Linked DNA regions of Drosophila melanogaster. Changing the gene in region 3 together with the main gene of any one other region gives a genetic interaction. Each region holds a gene or a part of one and is shown on either strand. Other genes may lie near its edges.

Region 1 (8,819 bases), on a different chromosome or scaffold from region 3:
TGAACGAAACGCGGAGTCCGCCGAGGATGTCGACGATAAGGCCAGTGTGAGCAGCTATAGCAGCTGCCGCCAGCTGCAGCCAGTTGTCAAACTACGCAAACTCCCAACCATTGCGTCTGTACCTGAACCATCTTCCGCCCCCAAGAGATACGACTTCAATACTGAGGCTGTGGTGCGCGTAAAGCGCCTATGGAATGAACTGCCCTGTCCGGATCGAGGGGCCAACCTGCTCACCAACGGTGTAGTAAAGAATACCAAACGAATGCGCTTCCAGACAAAAGTACTCACACTTGACGACGAGGATTGAGGATTCCAGATGTGGCACTGCTTGCTGGCAGTTTTTGATCTCCTTGTTAGATTTTCGCGCCGCAGCAATCAAAGATCTAGTAGTGATATTCTTTGGTAAATTTTTATACATTTTAAGAGGACATGACGACATAACTAAGAAGATATGTGTGTATAATTTAGAAGACAAGCAAATTCGTGCAAACAAATATGTAAATCTTTAAGCTGTAGCTGTAGGGCAGACTGAATTTGTCCGTTCACATTTTAATTTAACAAGTGTCTGTTCCCACCGAAAGAAGTATTGCAACACAATTTAAATCTGAAAATGCCAAAATCATTTTTTAAAGAACACCCTAAAGGCCAATGTCTATAATCACACAGATATATCGTTTAATAATTTGATATGTTATGACATGTGTAAAATTCTTTGCAACCAAAAGAGAAACGCCCACTAAATTGGCAACCATTTTTAAGGAACTATCAGAAAAAATCATTTAAAAAAAAAACACCCTAAAGGCCAATGTCTATAATCACACAGAAATATGGTTTAATAATTTGATATGTTATCACATGTGTAAAATTCTTTGCAACCAAAAGAGGAACGCCTACTAAATTGGCAAACATTAATTAAGAACTACAAATCGCGGACTATAAAAGCATTCCGAGCTCCTCCTATCGCCAGTTATATTATAGCCTTAAACATTCGAAACTTTAGATGTTCGGACACTTTAAGCTCGTCTATCCGGCTCCTATATCGGAGCCCATACAGTCTAGGGATTCGAATGCATACATGATGGAGACGCTGCGAAATTCGGGCTTGAATTTGAAGAACGATTTCGGTATAGGCCGCAAGATTTGGAGGGTGTTTTCGTTCACCTACAATATGGTGATACTTCCCGTAAGTTTCCCAATCAACTATGTGATACATCTGGCGGAGTTCCCGCCGGAGCTGCTGCTGCAATCCCTGCAACTGTGCCTCAACACTTGGTGCTTCGCTCTGAAGTTCTTCACTCTGATCGTCTATACGCACCGCTTGGAGCTGGCCAACAAGCACTTTGACGAATTGGATAAGTACTGCGTGAAGCCGGCGGAGAAGCGCAAGGTTCGCGACATGGTGGCCACTATTACAAGACTGTACCTGACCTTCGTCGTGGTCTACGTCCTCTACGCCACCTCCACGCTACTGGACGGACTACTGCACCACCGTGTTCCCTACAATACGTACTATCCGTTCATAAACTGGCGAGTCGATCGGACCCAGATGTACATCCAGAGTTTTCTGGAGTACTTCACCGTGGGTTATGCCATATATGTGGCCACCGCCACCGATTCCTACCCTGTGATTTACGTGGCAGCCCTGCGAACTCATATTCTCTTGCTCAAGGACCGTATCATTTACTTGGGCGATCCCAGCAACGAGGGTAGCAGCGACCCGAGCTACATGTTTAAATCGTTGGTGGATTGTATCAAGGCACACAGAACCATGCTAAAGTAAGTCAGTTTCATTATCCTACCGGAAATATCAACAACCGTGAATTATGTTTTCACTCAACGGATCTGAATTTATTCGGAAAACTGAATAAAAGTACAACTTTTATAAGAACTCGCTATTGATATTTCTGAATATATAAGAGTATATTTTTACATTCAGGATAAAATAAATGGTATATCAAACGATTCGACATAAAACTATTTTATTTCAAATAAATTAGCTTACATTTTTTAAAATATATGCATTAATTTAAATTTTCAATGTTAAAAACCCATCCCACTGTTTCCCATGCAGTTTTTGTGATGCCATTCAACCAATCATCTCTGGCACGATATTTGCCCAATTCATCATATGCGGATCGATCCTGGGCATAATTATGATCAACATGGTATTGTTCGCTGATCAATCGACCCGATTCGGCATAGTCATCTACGTTATGGCCGTCCTTCTGCAGACTTTTCCGCTTTGCTTCTACTGCAACGCCATCGTGGACGACTGCAAAGAACTGGCCCACGCACTTTTCCATTCCGCCTGGTGGGTGCAGGACAAGCGATACCAGCGGACTGTCATCCAGTTCCTGCAGAAACTGCAGCAGCCCATGACCTTCACCGCCATGAACATATTTAACATTAATTTGGCCACTAACATCAATGTAAGTCCACTGCTCTCGGTTAGAACGGGGAAGGAAGCAAAGTCCGAACTTCAATCCTTGCAGGTAGCCAAGTTCGCCTTCACCGTGTACGCCATCGCGAGCGGTATGAACCTGGACCAAAAGTTAAGCATTAAGGAATAGAAAGGAATACTCAATACAATTGACCGCACCAGAGGTAAACGTACATAGTTTTATGAACTTAACACTTTTTTGCTTCGTAGAATTATAATAATTGTATATGCATACAGCGAATTATGAATAAACATAATCTAGTTAAAACAAATATTGATCGAACAATGGGAAGTAAAGAAAATCGCTACATATGTATACCGTACAGCCCCTGCAGAAGTCTATTTGTAGGCTGGGAACCTGGAACCTTGTCCTCGGCAATTGGAATATGTTCCTACAGAGGCCGGATTCATCGGCTGTGATCTGGTCAATAGGTTCACTTGATCCCTGCGACTGGCCTTTTCTTTGAATGAGGTGCTGGGTGTCGGAAGATGGAGTTAGTGACGCGTTGGCGAGAATTGCACATTTTATGCGAAGCATGGAGTATTTTTAGCTCGCTTCTAGTTCGAATGTTTCGGCGGCAGTTTATTTCGGGCTAGGAGGAAGGGTAGCGGAGGGTCGACACGAATCTAAGTTTATTGATGATATTTTTAATGGCTGGCATAGATGAAACAGCGAAAGTTGTTCATTTAACAAAAACTTAGGCGAGATAACTATATGTGTCTTTGTGTCCCTCCATTCGCTCTAGATACTCCTTCTCGATCAGGATGTCTATGCACTTCTTGATCACGGGCACCTTAGGCTTAAAGCGCGTTGACAGCTGATTAAGCACCTCCGATATGAGATTGGTGTGGTTGAGTCGTTTGCGCATCTTCATGATGCGGACGATCGCCGCCTGGATCAGTAATTTTCGGTCCTCCTCTATGTGCTTATGTACAGTCTCCTGCTCCACTTTAAGTTCAGTCTTCAAAGGCTGGTTGATGTTAATTCGGCGCTTCTTGTTTTTGTAATCGAGGAACAGCTCCACCGTCGACTCTGGCGTCAGCGAGTTCTCATTGTCGCTGGAGGTCAGCACCTTCGCCTTGAGCAGTATTTGCAATACCTGAAGAAATTCTTACATAAGTCTCTATTAATTCTATCTATTGACACTACTCTCACCTGAATCAAGTTCTCCTGCTGCGTCTGTGTGTTGTCCTGCAGTTGCTGGACTGTAAAACTGAGCTGATCGTTAAACTGGAGCAGCACTGACATTTGGAAGGTGCTGGCCTGCAGGGTGTAGGTGGAGGAATTATTGCGGTTGACGTTCATTATCAGTTCGCCCTTGCACATCTGATACAACCAGTTGAGCTTGCGGCCAGAGTGGCGGGCGGCGTAGAACTCATTGAACTGTCGCACTGACCGCTCCAGCTCAGATGGTAGCAGGAAGTTGTTGCTCAGCTGGAAAGGCCAAGAGCCTGAGGACAGGACTTCGATGCCAAAGTCTATTTCCATGGTCAAGTTCTTTTCGGCCAGGTACTGCTTAAAGTACGAGTTCAAGTCCTTTGAGACGCCAATGTCCTGGAACATCCTCTGAAGCTTGACGGTGTATTCGTAACCACATGTCTGCTTCAGTTTGGAGATCATCATAGCCTCGGCGTCATCCGAAGCCGATGTGTGGTTAACCAAGCGCTTAGCAAGCATCTTGGAGTAATATTTTTGGAAGACGTCCTTATCCTCGATATACTTGAACACGACCATCACCTGGTTAAGATTGTCCTCGAGCTCCTTGTCCTCGGGATTTTTCGAGGATTTTTTTAATAACAGATCGCAGTACTTGGCCAGCAATTCGGGCGACTTGCTAGCACTGTTTGCGATCGTGACCACGTTCGAGTTTATGAACTTTCCACACGCCTTGTCCAAAGCGGCCACAAATCCGTTGTCATTGTTGAACGCCGTCAGAACGAGGGCGTTGTACTTCTTGTGCACGTCCAGGATGGTCTGTACGTACGTCTTGGGATCGTTGGCCGCGTCGGTAGTGCAACACTTGGCAATGGCCTCCGTGCCCTGGTGGAGTATATGGTTCTCAAGGATGGACTTGAGATCTGTCAGGTTTTTGGACGAGAGGGCGACCAAGGAGTACATCCGTTTCAGATCATCGTTTCGGTCTGCGTTGAGCAGATTCTGAAACTCGGTGTGAAAGATTTTCAGATGTTTTTCGATAAGAACCTGAAAGACATTGATTCGGTTAGTAGGCGGCTTTAAAGTTGGACACGGTAGGCAATCCCACCTCTTCGCATGTGGACTTCAGCACATCCGCTGTGGTCTCGTGCAGATAGGAAAGACCGTTCTTTGAATTAAAGCCGCGGACGCGCTGCGTCTCCTCCTCCAGCCTGTTTTCGACGTGCTTCAGATACTCGGTGACCGTGTTGGTGGACAGAAAGGCGTCCGACTCCTTCTCGTAGAAGGCTGATGTGTCTGCGATGAACTTGTTTTCAAAGTTTTGCTTGTAGACGGATAACTTCTGCTGCTCGGCATCGGTATCCTCCTCGTTAAAGCTGAGCTCCACGTAGCACTCGATAACGTCGCGGACCAGCGACCGGTTAATGAGCTTGCCTTGACGCTCCTCCTCAATGGACTTGAGCACTGCCTTGGTGACCGGCTCATTTAGCACTTGGAACAAATGTCCCTTCCAGGCGACGAGGGCCAGTCGGTAGATCTTGTAGATACCCTTCTGCCCCTCCTCGCACTCGCGCTTCACCCAGTTCCGATTCAGGTAGTTGCAGATGCCGTCCAGAACGGTACTGGAGAACTGATACGACTTCCACTGTTTGGTGTAGCGCGACAGGAGTACCTCCTCGCCGCTGATGGCCTTGAACTTGGTGAGCAGCTCGCTCAGGTATGACTTGAGAAATTGTTCCAGCCGGTCGTACAGCTTCTTGCCCACCAGCTGCGCTCCGCCTGTCTTTCCGCTGCTCCGTCCGCTTGGAGCCGCGCTCACGCTGGTGCAGTAGTCATAGACGTGAGTGTAGAAACGCATGTACTGGCTGCGGGTGAGGGACTTCTCGTGCTCAAACACCTGCATAATGCCCTCGACCAATTCGCTCCAGATATCGTCCAGGTTGACGAGTTTCTGTGTGGTCTGGGAATTGCCGGAGCGGTTCATTCTGGCGGCGGTGGGTTGTGGCAACGGCCTTCTGCCTTCTTCCACTGGAGGATGCTGTCCCTGCAGTGGCGCTGGGCTGGAGAAGGCAATGACCCTAGGTGGCGAATGCTGCGCGGGCGACAGGGGATTGCTGCTGCTTTCCAGGTGGCGTCGTTTCGCGGCTCTCGTCCTTGGAGTTGTGGCCGGAATCTTGGCGAATCGGTGTTCCAATTTTGGAATTTAAAGTGTCAATCTGCAGATGAGAGAATCGGTACAAAAACGGAATGGGATTGGGAATGTAGTAGGCCTCGCCACGTTAAAAGCGACGACCCGAAGGTCGCCTATTATGATCCAATGTCACAGCAATAAAAGAGAGGCTTGCGGAATACACACACACACACACATGCACGCACAAGCTGTAATGCAATGCGCGGTGGTCGGACATGCCCTGCAATGTAGGGTATTGGCCAATCGCATGGCAGGTGAAGCCCCACCACCGCCCCCGCTATCGTTAGATCGTGTTCGAAAACCCAACTTCCTGGTTAAATAAACACTCGCATGCACACATATGCAGTCGCCCTCGCCTTCACACACACACCCGCACCCACACAAAGGCACATAAAGCCAAGAGAAAAGATAGCGGACATAACCATTTCACAACTAAATTGTTAACATTTTTTTCGATTTTTCACATAGCTCCCTCCAAACGAAATTTATTTTCCTGGTAAATTGAGCCGTGCGACTGAGTTTTCTTTTCGTGACGTCGTGATGGATTTGATTTCCCCTTGGAGCACACACACTTTTTCTCTTTTGTTCGCCATTTTCAAAGCACGAAATCCCGTCTCTTTGCATTTCCCTCATTTTGCTTTATATTACCTGTTGCCAGACGCTGCTAAAATTAAAACTAAAACTAAATTAAAATTGTGTTTCACTGCTTTGCTTATAATTAAATTAATTTTTTTTTTCTGTGAAAATTGCTAACTTTCGTTTATTCCTAACTATTAAAATGTGTGACCGTTCGGCCATTGCGCTGCAAGGCCCTCGACGGTGGTATCGCTTAAGACCAGCTATCGTTGGCGATCTATTTATTGGGCGCCACTATTGGTGGCGATCTCATTTTTCAGGGAATTCTTTACACGGAAAGCAGTTATATTATAGTTTATAATATCAAATATCGCTGTTAGGCTCTTCAAAGCGTGATGTAAAATATCGGCAACGCGGTTCGTATCTTAGATTTTACAAATCCGTTAGCGGTTACAGAAACCTTCTTATAGATGTCATTTTCCTGGGCACACTTCCTGGAACTTGAGAACAATCTATACTTTATATAAAACGATTGGTCTTAGCACTTGCATAATAAAACCCTTTTCAAATAATTAGGGTATGCTTATATAGTCTTATACAGGTTCACCCTAATGCCCGTACGAAACACAACTCCTCCAGGACTCAAACCAATGTGACCGTGTATAGAAGGCATACGCATTTACTTCAATTTCGATTCGTTTGCTTTGACATGTGCGGCAACTCTGACGCCAAGCAAAACAAAAACAGTGCAGCAAAGAAATTTAAAAGGTCATTGTTTATGCTTAGAAGCGGCTATATTTAGTAATTTTGATAGTTGGATACGAAAAGATGTCCTGTCGCTGCTTCTGCTTAGTGGCTGCAGCACTGCTGCTGCTGTTCTTCCACCAGCAATCCTGTGACGCAGCCACCCAGACGCCCCAAAAGACGGTGGTAATTGCGGAGCAGAGTGCGCCGGCTGCTGAGGTGGAGGCCAAAAAGCCAGTCGTGAAGAAATCGCAAGCAGAGAATCCTCCGGCAGGACCAAAGGATTCTATGGTGGTCGTAGACGATGGCGGACCTGCTCCGGTTGCTCCAGGTGCTTCGGTTGCCACACAAGTTTCACCAGGAGATGCCAAGGCACCGGAAATGGTGCAGCCTCCGGGAGGTCTTCCCGTGGATGATGTTCATGTTGAACGCTCTCCCATGTCCCCCGATGTGGACTTTCCGGGCCAGGCTGTTGTCTACATCCTCGTGGGAATCACCAGTACTGCAATACTGCTGCTTATTATGAGGGTTTATAGGTGAGTTAATGAAGGACATATCCTAGAGCTCTAGACTAGAGTCCAGAAAAGCATGAAAGGTTATTTCAAAGTCTTCCTTATTATTTTGTAATGCAAAGGTAAAACAGCAAAGAATAGATTTTTAAGGATTTCAAAAGTTTACAGCGATCCTTTATCGTGCCTTGAAATTAAAATTTCCAGTAAATATTGTTAGAATACTAATTTAAAACTAAGCGTAATGTTTAAATATGTAGCTTTAAATATTCTTATCGGTGGACTATATGCAAAACAGACTACCTATATATACTGAATTTTACTTTATACATACATACCTACATTATTAAGTTATTATACTAGCAATTTTTGGTGATAAGACTAATCGAATCGCAAATCATTGCAGGCTCCGACTTTCCCGGGCGGAGCGCAAGTACGGCGTGCAGGGCGACCGCGCCAACCAGGAGCTGACACCACTGCCCATGGCCATCGAGGACGTGAATAGTGACGAAGAGGACCACACCCTGTTCGAGGTCAATCGCCAGAACATACGCATATTATGAAATAGCAGACACATGCACACGCCAAAGATCCGTTTGGTCGCACCGCCATTTCCGACACTTCTCATCAGAACTTGCCTTGTTTCGTAGCTATTTAATGCTTTGTAGATTTGAGCTGTAGCTGCCAGCCAATAGCCGACTAAGCCCACTAATAACTAAGTTCTCTGCATTTCTCCTACTCGCAGTTGGTTCAGGTTTAACGAATCAAAAAGGAAAACAAAACCACTTGTGATAACGATTACGATGATATGTATGCAAGGCATTAAAAATCTCATAAATACCAATGCTTTCAAATCGCCTCTGCGTCGATGTTCCATATAAATAAATGTTATATTACATGTACTCGCTTCTCTCTTTATTCTTCACACTTTCACAGGACGAATCTAGCTATAATTGGTTACAAACGTAGACTTAATACAGGTTAATGGGCTTATGGATAGCTGTGACAAAGGATATACATAGGCTGGATACAGGCAGTATACGCGTACGCACGGAAACAAATGCACTAACTTGTACTTATTAACTAGGATCACATAAATAATTTATTAACAATACTGCGACTGCGGCTGTGGCTGTGGCGGCCCTGCCCTGCCAAGAAATACCACAGGAGCTTACGACTACCGCTAACACTAAACTTGAGCTT
Region 2 (4,844 bases), on a different chromosome or scaffold from region 3:
CGACAATTTTGCAAGCCCTTTCCGAAGCAATTGTCAGGGAATCCGTTCCTGCCGCCATGGACAACATTTGCGGAGCAGTTGCTCGTCTCATAGTTACCAACCCAGATTCAGTGCCGCTTGGCCAGGTGCTGCCCGTGTGGCTCAACCATTTGCCACTGAAGGATGACACCGTGGAGAACGATGTGATTCAGAAGGCGTTCCGTGTGCTATACTTGAAGGCCCGCCCCAGCATTGAGGCACATCTTGAGCAAATCCTGGCCATCACCATAGAGGCGAGTTACAAGAAACAGATGCCTGACGTCGAGACAACCGAGAGCGCGGTGGCCCTCATCAAAGAGATTCGCGCCAACTACCCGGAACTGTTCAGCAAAGTATCGAACATGAATCCAGAAGTGTTCAATTATGTGCAAGCCCTGTAAGCCCACATATCCGTGTGAAAACCACCAAACAGCTCAGAACACCCAACGTCCTCCGCCCGCAGATTCATTTATTGGAAGTGATGCAAGCTTTTTATACGAATACTTTCGAAATAGTCTTAAATTTCAGTTGTGCTTCTGTGGAGTTAAATCATTCAAGATGAGCGATCTTTAAAAGGGCAAGATGAAGGTTTCTACGCGCCAAAAAACGGAGGAAAATGTTTTCTAACTTATAACCACATCCAGTGAGACATTAATATGCATTGAAATAATATAGGGATTACTTGTTTCATTGAAGGCTATGTTATTATTTAAAATTGGTTTTTCTTCAACCATTAGGCAGTTGATCTTAACTCTTATAGTTTCAGTCTAGTTTCTACCAGTGTGCATTTCGTCGGATGACAACCTCACGGACTATGTCGGCATGATTGGCGTGCAGCTTGAGATTCGAGTCGACGTCCGTCCAGCGCACATTGGAGGCATCGTCACCGGCCATTAGCTCCAATTGTCCCACCTGGCTCCCGTCTTCATCGTGGAAGTTCAGCGCAGTGGTTTCCATCCAAGCGTTGTCCGTGTTTCGAAAATCGTCTACGTAGCCTTGGTATACCTGAACGCCTCCCGCTTGAAAAAATCGCTCAACCATGTTGGCTTTGTCCGTGAAATTCAATGCCTCCTCGGTGAACTCCCGCTTAAGGGTGACACTGACATTCTCGCCGGGATCGACCATTCCACCGGGAATGGCCCACAACTTGTTGTCGGACCGCTGTATGGCAACCATCTGTATGATATTCCTGCAGGAAAGAGGAAGTGATGTCATCACAGTTAATGGGCTATTGGGCCAACTTACTTGCCGGTTGTCGGGTTGGCCACAATTGCTCCTTGGTCGTCACGCTTCCAGCGCGTGACGATTGGATCTGCGGCATGATTTGGACCCCATCTGCCTAGCGAACCACGTCCGGTTAGTCCGGTACGCCCGATCGGATTTAGGGGCAGTCCATTCTGCACGTTGTAGGCACCGTGAAAGGATTCGCGGTTTACCTGTCCATCCAGCTGATTCCACTGTGGCCAGAATGTGTCGCTGGGCAACGGCGGATCAGCCCACACCTGCCCGCCAATATGTGGCGCCGTGTACGCAGGCGGGCAGTAGTCCGGGAACGGCTCCGACCAGAAGACCTGTTCGTCGGAAACTGGGTACCGGAGGACTGAGCTGCGCGGATACATGTTGTTGCGGCACATTAGGTGCCGGAAAATGCCCGGCTTCACCAGCGATGACATCATTTGGGCGGAGGTTAGCGGGTTTTCCAGGATCAGTGGCAAAAACAGAAGCGGCAGCAGTGCAAACTCGAAACTCGTCATTGGACTGAATTCTCTGAGAGACGAACACTAAGAAATGATTTTGTTAACGCACACCAGCGGGCACAAACTTAGCTAGCAAAATGGATTTGTTGGTACGGGGAAAGCTGTACTATTCGCACAGCCTCTTCTGTGAGCACTGCTTGGGAACGATTTATTTCTAGGACCAGCTGGTCACACTAGGCCGCATATTTTAAATCTCAAAGATTCGGTTTATTACGATGTTTTGTTGTTTTGGGTAAATACAAAAATTTGAAGCCAACTAACTTAGAATGCCTGGTTTCCACCGAATGCCCCTAACCAAAAGAAACGGCAACATCCTCGCCACAGGCTAGTCCTGACGCAGCGTCAGAGTTCGTACTTCAATTCCATCTTTGGTTATGATGTTGATCAGCACAGAGTCGCCGGTGTAGATGTCGCGCTCAGCGGCAGAGATGAAGGTGTCGGAGGCAACGCTCACGGCCCGCTCCTTGGTTAACTTGATCTTGTCGGCGTCTTCCAAATTCATGTTCTTGTGACCAATCTGGTTGTCCAGCACCGGTTGCAGCAGGGTGCCGGCAGTGCCGCCGGCGCGGTATGTAGCCTTCTCGCAGTGACCGATGGGATCGTAGGAGTAGACGACGCCCTTGCCCTCGTTGTCAATTCCAGCCAGAATGTTCGACACGTAGTACGGGAAGAAGCGGCGATTGTACATGGCGATGGAGAGCATCTGGGCCACGGCCTCAGTGGTCATGGTGCGCAGATGGGTATGCTCGTAGCTCTGCATGCGCACCTTAATCGATCCGGTCAACGAGAGCGTGTCCGCCCAGCAGCCTGCGGAACCCAACACTGTCTGGGGCGAGAGTTTAAAGAGTTTACTCTGCGTTCGCGAGTGAATGTTGTAGCCGCTGCTCAGGCGGGTGTCCGCTGCAATTACGGCAAAGTCATCTCCGGCGATGGCCACAATGGAGCTGTAAACAGGGAAGACTCCGGTTAGATGGAGACATTCTTCCACATCTCGATTCCGCTGGGAAATAGCAACTCACCCGCCATTGGACTCGTAGGGCGAGAAATCAGGATGCTTCATGCCGGGCACCTGGTAGTCCGGGAATTGCTCAAAGCCCAATCTGCTCATGTTTTGTGCTGAAATTCACCAATTAACTCGCCAAGTAAAAAACCAACGAAATGATTTGCAAGTTTGCAAGCGGCTAACCAAAATCACAAAATCAATGTGACCGTTGTTGAGCATCGGATCCAGCCTGCTTAAACGTTATCGATAGGTATACATACGTCGGTTTGGGATATTTTTATTAGCAGGAGGTATTTATTTAGTAAACATTTTTAATTTAACATATAAATAAAATAACAATATAAAACCTAAAATTAATTCCAATTTGTACCATAAACTTGCACTCCTTACGCGTTTTTGACCAAATATATACATTCAGATACCATAAACGAAACGGCAAACTAGATTTGATTAAAATGTATATTTTAATGAACATTTCGGTTATTTTCAACAATCTTTGGATAAAATAAGGGCAAATATTTGTTTTAAGCTATAGCGGCCATGTTTTCAATACGTTCTCTTTGCAACTGCCCACGATTCTTCTCCACCAACGCCTTGACGTCATAAAACCATTTACCTGCGGAAATATGTAAAAAGTTCGTAAAAAGGTACAAAACCCGAGAAAGAAACCTTATTTACCGATGCTGGTGTTTTGCAGACAATCCTTGAACGTCTGACACCCCTCCATGCTTGAAAGCACGCCGAAAACCGATAGATCAGCCAGACTTGGCTGTTTTCCGCCCATGAATTTCGTGTTCCTCTTTTTCAGCTCAGTGGTCCACTGGTCAAGGGCATCGTACATGTGCGACCTGACGTCGTCGCTGAGGGCGTGACGGCGCTTCAGCATCTTGGCTATGGCCCACATGGCGGTGGCACCACAGTAAACCATCAGGTCGCGCTCCCATTTGGGGAAGTGAACGTCCCACTCGCCAGCTTGCGAGAACCACTCAAAAGTCTCTAGGGACTCGCCCATGGTCTGATAACAGTTGGGCGATATTAGATGCACCAAGTGGCTGTCGGCCCAGCTTCTCCACTTGCGATCGGTTCTAAGAACAGACACTCAAGGTTAAAAGATTTGATTAAAAGATTACTTGACCCTGGTTAACTTACTCATCCGTTTCCTTGGATACTCCCTTGGGCGTATGCTCGCGGTACATGAGGAAGTATTTATTCAATATGTCGTTCTTCTTTTTGCCATCATCGTCGAAGAAGGAGGTGTGCGGATAGAACTGTGCCAGCTCGCCGATGTCGGTGCGCTTGTCCTGCAGGTGGGTGGCTATAAGGGATATGATGGCACTTGAGTCCACCATCTGGACGTATTTGCCGTCCTGCTGTCGGATGAGCACCATCGGCACCTTCTTCACCGACGACCAGCGGATGTCCTGCCGTAGGACGGCATCCACTTCGACCACCGCATAGGATATGCCCATGTAGTCGAGGAAAGCGCGCACCTTGCAACAGAAGGGACACGTCTGGAACTGGAACAGCACAATGTCCAAACCGGACGTGTCCTTGGGGTTGACATAGCGCTTGGTTATCCGCACTCCAGCCGGAATCCCGTCCAGCCGCGTCGGCTTCGTCTCCTCGTGCTCTTTGTGCGAGCTGCCGTCTGTCCACCGCTGGTACATCGTATACACCGATCCGGTGGCCGCGCCTACGGTGGCCCCCAAAACTGCGAGCTTGAAAGTTCCATTCGGCTTCTTTCTGCCTCCGCCGTTTTCAACCGCTACAGCAAACTGGCGGCGTGCGAATGCAGCATCCGGATTCCGTTTAGTCAACAGGCGCAAGGCTCCACCTCCGCTTGCTGCCGGCGGGGGACGGACCCCTGCCAGAACGGTGGCAGACGCTAGCCGAATACATGACATAATTCGCACGTTTGTTTTGACTTATACTTAATATTATGCAAAAATTAGCGACTTATCAGCCGCGACTATGAGACCAGTGTGAAAAAATACCAAGACTTTTGTAGGGCTCCGGAATATACCATAAAGTTTTGAACATACCTTAAACGGTAACCCTGAAGAATG
Region 3 (5,899 bases):
GCATGTGTGCGTGAGCGCTTTAAAACAAAATCGTGTCGCATATAGATATTCCGCTAGTCTAATCACAATTCAGTGCCATTATGCAACGTCACCGCGTAGTGCAGGCCTCCAGCATTTAACTCAACAATTGCATTTAAAAGTAAACCAGTGATATAGTTTATTGTTACATTTGAGATCAGACATCAGACCCGCAGAGACGACAGGCAAAGTGCGTGCTTATCGCGCAATAAACAATCCAGACACGCGGTGATAAGGCGAAAGGGAGCGATCATTCACTAAAGTCACCTTTTTACAGATGCTACGCAGCTGTCAGTTAACCCTCTCCGCCGCTAAGAGGAGCCTTCGCGAGCAGTTCCAGTTGCAAGCCCTTCGTCACCAGCAGACTGCCATTAAAATGGAGAAATTCGATCTGCCCAAGCGATTGCAGGGTAGCACGCCCAGCGTCTGGAACGAGTACATTGCCCTGGCCATGCAATATAAGCCCCTGAACTTGGGACAGGGATTTCCCGATGATGCCGCTCCCGAGTACGTGACCCACTCGTTGGCCGACATTGCCAAGGAGCAGAATCCTCTTCTGCATCAGTACACTCGCGGTTACGGTCACGTTCGCCTGGTCAATGCGCTATCCAAGCTCTATAGCGGTCTCGTCGGCAAGGAGCTAAATCCCCTCAGCGACATACTGATTACCTCAGGCGCCTATGAGGCTCTCTACTCCACCATCATGGGCCATGTGGACGTGGGCGACGAGGTGATCATTATTGAACCATTCTTTGATTGCTACGAGCCTATGGTCAAGATGGCCGGTGGAGTGCCCCGCTTTGTTCCCCTAAAATTGGTAAGAACCACAATAGAAAAAAAAAATATATCCCTCTTTTTAACATGTCTAACTTCTAGCGCAAGACAGAGGGACCAATAAGCTCTGCCGATTGGGTGCTAGATGACGCTGAGTTCGAGAGTCTGTTCAACTCTAAAACAAAGATGATTATCCTAAACACGCCCCACAACCCTATTGGAAAGGTCTTCAACCGGAAAGAGCTAGAGAGGATAGCCGAGCTCTGCCGCAAGTGGAATGTGCTGTGCGTCTCGGACGAGGTGTATGAGTGGTTGGTGTTCGACGGAGCCGAGCACATCCGTATCTGCACGCTGCCGGGCATGTGGGATCGCACCATTACTCTGGGATCAGCGGGCAAGACCTTCTCAGTAACTGGTTGGAAAATAGGCTGGGCCTACGGACCCGCTGAACTGATTCGAAACCTGCAGATGGTGCATCAGAACTCTGTGTACACCTGTCCAACGCCGCTCCAGGAGGGCGTCGCACGCAGTTTCGAGGTAGAACTGGCCCGTTTGGGTCAGCCGGAGAGCTACTTCCTTAGCCTGCCGCGCGAGCTGAAGCAGAAGCGTGACTTCATGGCCAAGTTCCTGTCCGAATCCGGTATGCGTCCCACCATTCCTGAGGGTGGCTACTTTATGCTGGCAGACTGGTCACCACTGGCGGGCAAGATTGATCTAAGCTCTGAGCCAGACAAGCATCGGGATTACAAGTTTACCAAGTGGATGACCAAGAACATGGGCTTGCAGGGCATACCGCCAAGTGCCTTCTACAGCGAACCCAACAAACATCTGGGGGAGGACTTTGTGCGCTACTGCTTCATCAAGAAGCAAGAGAACCTGGATAAGGCGGCCGAACTGCTGTCCAAATGGAAATAGTCGCCGGACAATAAACGAATTGCTATCAGCCGCTTTGTTTATCTCTGCCCGAATGCAGTTCCCTAACCTGGGTGTTACGTAACCAACAGGGAAAACAACCTTGTGCTGGTGTGGTAGCCTTACTGCAATCTCCATTTATTAGCAATCCAACAACATGTTCATCCGCACCATACATTGGATAGTAGGTAGCTAGTGTCGCTGTAACGTGTATATTGTGTTCTGTGTTTTTAAACTAGTGTTCTCCGCTTAGGCATCGTACACGGACTTCAGGGCCAATTCGGGCTTGTCGTAGCCCAGTTCCTCGATGGTTGGGATGCCCAGCTCCTGCAGTGTGGGGGTGATCTTCTCCAGCAAGTAGGGATAGAGGGTGGCCTTTTGGTCGCCGCACTTGTCCTTGCATCCCTCCAGCCACCTGATGGCCAGTGCAATGTCGTTGACGCGACGGCTGGCACGCAGACCGGCCTCGATGATCTTGGGGCTGGGCACCAGATCCATGCCCAGCAGATCGTTCATGCCCTTGCGGATCTCCCAGCCATCGATGCCCTCACGGCTGAAGTACTTCTCGTAGCGCTTGTCGAACTCCTCCGCCGATTCCTCGGTTCCGTGCAGACAGCGCACGGCGGCCACGCGCGACGATGTGCCGACGAGGCTGCTGCGGAGGGCGCTTGCCAGGTTACGGGCCGTGATGCTCAACATGCTGCCGTTAAAAACAGTAAAATGCTTGTTAATTGCAAAAATTTGGTTAAGTAACAGCTCGACTCACTTTTCTTGTTCTTGCTACTTTTCACACGGGTATGACAGATCTGAGTGATGGTTGGCAACACTGGCTTTTCCAGGGATGGACACGTTTATAACTGTCGCTGTCACGGAACAGTGAGATATTTAAAATGTTTCTGCTTCAGTATATTTCAAATTCGGGTAAGATCACAGTTAGTTTATCATTTTCCTTATATTTAATTTCTTCTATCTTGCCCAAAAAAAGCAAAAAAAAAATCAAAATCAAACCTTGTTTCTTTTTCAACGGTCCACATTGATGCTGGCTACTGCCAGGCGGTATTTTTTGATGATTTAATTGCGGTCACACTGCATCTTCAACTTGACGCGTGCTATTTGATTAATCTCTCTGAAAAATAAGTCAAATTAACCGATAAAGTTTAAAAAAAGGCGATATTGGAAGTTGAAACAGAGCAGAATACGGTTAGTTCTCTGTTCCGCCACCAGGTGTGACATTTAGAAGCGTTTATATTGTGTACGAGACTTGCAAAATGTCATAAGCAATTAGGGGTGACAAGAAATCAAAATGGCGTACGCGGTGCAAAAAAGAATCGCACCAAACAAGCGTCGCTGCTGAGTGGAGAATCACTAGCTCAAAAAATCGCATTTTCAGCCAGTAAAAAACAATTAAAACTAGTTAACCAGTGACTAATCGTTGTAACACCATTTGCAGGTAGAGATCTGGTGAAAAATGTCCAACGCAGACGTGCAATTTAACTACGGCCAGCAGGGAAATGGCGACAACTTCAACGACGACAGCAACCAGCAGCAGGATGAGGATGACCAGTACAACGAAGATGGCGGCGGCAAGATCGAAAACGTCGGCGAGAGCCCCAAATTCGTTCGGTTGCGCGGCCTGCCCTGGTCCGCAACGCACAAGGAGATACTCGACTTTCTGGAAAACGTGAATGTGACTAATGGCTCGGCGGGCATTCACCTGGTCACCAGTCGGGTCGACGGCAAGAACACCGGCGAGGCGTACGTGGAGGTGGCCAGCCAGGAGGACGTCGAAGAGGCTCGCAAGCTGAACAAGGCCAGCATGGGTCACCGCTACATTGAAGGTTTGTTTATTTGCCACTTGAGTGGGGGATGACTGTACCTGATGACTATCTTGGCAGTTATAGTTAGTTTCTTCTCACTTTGTTTATATGTTTATCCTTTTAACAAGCTTGAACTTGTTCTGATTCCATACATGGAATCGAAGATGATTTATTTCTTCATTGTTTTGCTACTTATACTGGTAGCGCTTATTTTCTTTTCATTCATTGTGGAATTTTACCTAATATTAAGGAGGTTTTACAAATATGTCACTGTATTGTTACTCTTATCCTTGCTTCTATCGAGGTAAACTAAAATTTAGTAAAGTAAATTTCACACCACCATTTATAATCTGTATTCATGTTAATTCTTATCTTAATAACAAACACAAAATGGTGCAGAAAACTTGTTTGTTTTTTTTCCGTTTTAACTGATGTAATTGGTTTTTATTTCTTTAGTTTTTACCGCCACGCCCAAGGAGGCCAAGGAAGCCATGCGGAAGATCAGCGGACACGGCACGGCCTTCGTTGTGAAGCTTCGTGGTCTGCCATATGCCGTCACTGAGCAGCAAATCGAGGAGTTCTTCTCTGGTAAGTTTCCTGACCCAAATCCTCTTTCCATACTAATATGTACCAGGTACCAGGAAAAAAGACAGTGGTTGACCGCATGTATTATTTGTTCACATCGTTGAGATATGGCCTACGGTCCCCTTTCATCTACACCTTTCATATATCAATTACACATGCGTTTCAACGTACATACATATTGTCGGGCAAAGAAATGCAGGCCCTTGCATTTGTGTAATGGGTTCGGCGGTTCACGCGGCTCCTTCCAAAGTCAACGGCTGAGAGTTGACGCGGTCACGTCCGCTTGTCCGATAAATCATTCCTTCGTTGGTCACATAACCCAGTTTACTTGGTTATATGGTCGATCATTACTCACAACCTTCAACTGAGCTACACATGTCTACGAGTTACAGGATCTGAGTTTTGTAATACATTGTGGTCCGGGAAACTCGATTGCAACAGTCGCATCTTGCCTGGTGATCATAGTTTGACTAAAAGGCACTGTTTATTTATGCAAACGTTGCTAATACCGTGAGAACCTGCAAAAGTTCTGCGGTGTTGGAACTAAACAATAACATTTATCAACCTCTGTATTTCTGTTTTTCTATCTAAGCTTAACCTTGCATAATGTATATATATATATGAAATCTATATATTTGTATAAATCTTTGTTGGTTATCGTCATGGGCAGGGTTGGATATCAAAACGGATCGGGAGGGCATACTTTTTGTTATGGACAGAAGGGGTCGTGCAACTGGGGAAGCTTTTGTTCAGTTCGAAAGCCAGGACGACACTGAGCAAGCCTTGGGCCGAAATCGGGAAAAAATTGGGCACAGGTGGGTTTCTAATTCATCATATCTTCTACAACAAAAACAGCGAAATTAAAACATTAAGTGGTAATCGATTGCGAACTTGTTGAAACACACAAGGACTATACAATTATTCACAAAATATTTAATAACTTTTATCACAAATAATTTCTATTTCAGTAACTGAGAAATCATTTAGCAAAAAATTTTCCCATAGCTACGGGTCTGGTGGGGCTCTCTAAATACATATATATGTTTAAGCGCGATCATGTGCTTTATCTAACAAATTAATTAAACTGTGAACAGCATTTTTATTTATTTTATTTGATCATTTCAATGAATTTATTTTGATTTCATTTTTTTACGTGATATTTAATAGTTGATCATGGAAAAAAGCCACCGACCCTAGCAATTTCAAGTACCACTTTTAAAATACATATATTTTCCACTTTTATTCACATAGGTATATTGAGATATTCCGCAGCTCGATTGCTGAAATGAAGAGGGCCACAGGCGCCGGTGGCGGTGTCGGAGGACGCCCTGGCCCTTATGACATACGTGATCGTGGTGCCAACCGTGGTGGCAATGATTTCGGCGGAGGGCGCAATGGTATGTTCAGATCTAATTGTTAAATTTTATAAAACTTCACTGATTGCCATTCCGATGTTAAACAAAGATTGGGGCAACAATGGCAACTTTGGCGTTGGTGCCAACAACATGCTGGGCTTCAACAATCTGCCAAGCCTGATGAACTCGGGCAACTTTGGAAACAACCAAGGTGGAAATAATGGAAATTTTGGAAATAACTCTGGACCCAGCAATTTCGGCAACTTTGGTGGCGGCAACAACGGTGGAAATTCCGGCAACTTTGGAAACGACAGTGGTAACAGCGGAAACTTTGGAAACTTCGGCAATAATGGAGGCGGAAACTTCGGCGGCAACAACAACGGCGGCGGTGGTTTCAACAGTGGCAACAACTTCAATTCTCCAGGTGGCGTTAATAAT

The links. A genetic interaction does not mean that the proteins touch.
Region 1: of COX5A (region 3) and Cul1, changing one suppresses a phenotype caused by changing the other (phenotypic suppression), as found in Drosophila melanogaster (one study listed by BioGRID).
Region 2: of COX5A (region 3) and Prosbeta6, changing one suppresses a phenotype caused by changing the other (phenotypic suppression), as found in Drosophila melanogaster (one study listed by BioGRID).

What each region holds. Positions count from the first base shown.
Region 1 is NT_033778.4:7,914,725-7,923,543, reverse strand, and holds Cul1 (cullin 1), read right to left. Parts: upstream 6,591-8,819; 5' UTR 6,436-6,590; intron 6,367-6,435; exon of another isoform or gene 6,210-6,366; intron 5,813-6,209; 5' UTR 5,581-5,812; coding exon 4,705-5,580; intron 4,644-4,704; coding exon 3,597-4,643; intron 3,541-3,596; coding exon 3,139-3,540; 3' UTR 2,571-3,138; coding exon of another isoform or gene 2,493-2,570; 3' UTR 2,430-2,492; coding exon of another isoform or gene 2,072-2,429; 3' UTR 1,965-2,071; downstream 1-1,964. Other genes in the region: Kdm4A (lysine demethylase 4A), read left to right, coding at 1-307; Or43b (odorant receptor 43b), read left to right, coding at 1,001-1,776, 2,072-2,429, 2,493-2,570; CG12159 (uncharacterized protein), read left to right, coding at 7,192-7,643, 8,023-8,179. UniProt on the Drosophila melanogaster protein: Core component of multiple SCF (SKP1-CUL1-F-box protein) E3 ubiquitin-protein ligase complexes which mediate the ubiquitination of proteins involved in cell cycle progression, signal transduction and transcription.
Region 2 is NT_037436.4:16,607,436-16,612,279, forward strand, and holds Prosbeta6 (proteasome beta6 subunit), read right to left. Parts: upstream 2,984-4,844; 5' UTR 2,884-2,983; coding exon 2,795-2,883; intron 2,720-2,794; coding exon 2,101-2,719; 3' UTR 1,965-2,100; downstream 1-1,964. Other genes in the region: Arts (artemis), read left to right, coding at 1-419; CG4098 (uncharacterized protein), read right to left, coding at 793-1,207, 1,264-1,772; Su(P) (suppressor of ref(2)P sterility), read right to left, coding at 3,303-3,394, 3,457-3,863, 3,928-4,682. UniProt on the Drosophila melanogaster protein: Non-catalytic component of the proteasome, a multicatalytic proteinase complex which is characterized by its ability to cleave peptides with Arg, Phe, Tyr, Leu, and Glu adjacent to the leaving group at neutral or slightly basic pH.
Region 3 is NT_033777.3:11,816,216-11,822,114, reverse strand, and holds COX5A (cytochrome c oxidase subunit 5A), read right to left. Parts: upstream 2,757-5,899; 5' UTR 2,713-2,756; exon of another isoform or gene 2,695-2,712; intron 2,568-2,694; 5' UTR 2,471-2,567; exon of another isoform or gene 2,405-2,470; 5' UTR 2,404-2,404; coding exon 1,954-2,403; 3' UTR 1,816-1,953; downstream 1-1,815. Other genes in the region: Kyat (kynurenine aminotransferase), read left to right, coding at 296-835, 895-1,707; glo (glorund), read left to right, coding at 3,173-3,542, 3,978-4,109, 4,777-4,921, 5,358-5,503, 5,571-5,899. UniProt on the Drosophila melanogaster protein: Component of the cytochrome c oxidase, the last enzyme in the mitochondrial electron transport chain which drives oxidative phosphorylation.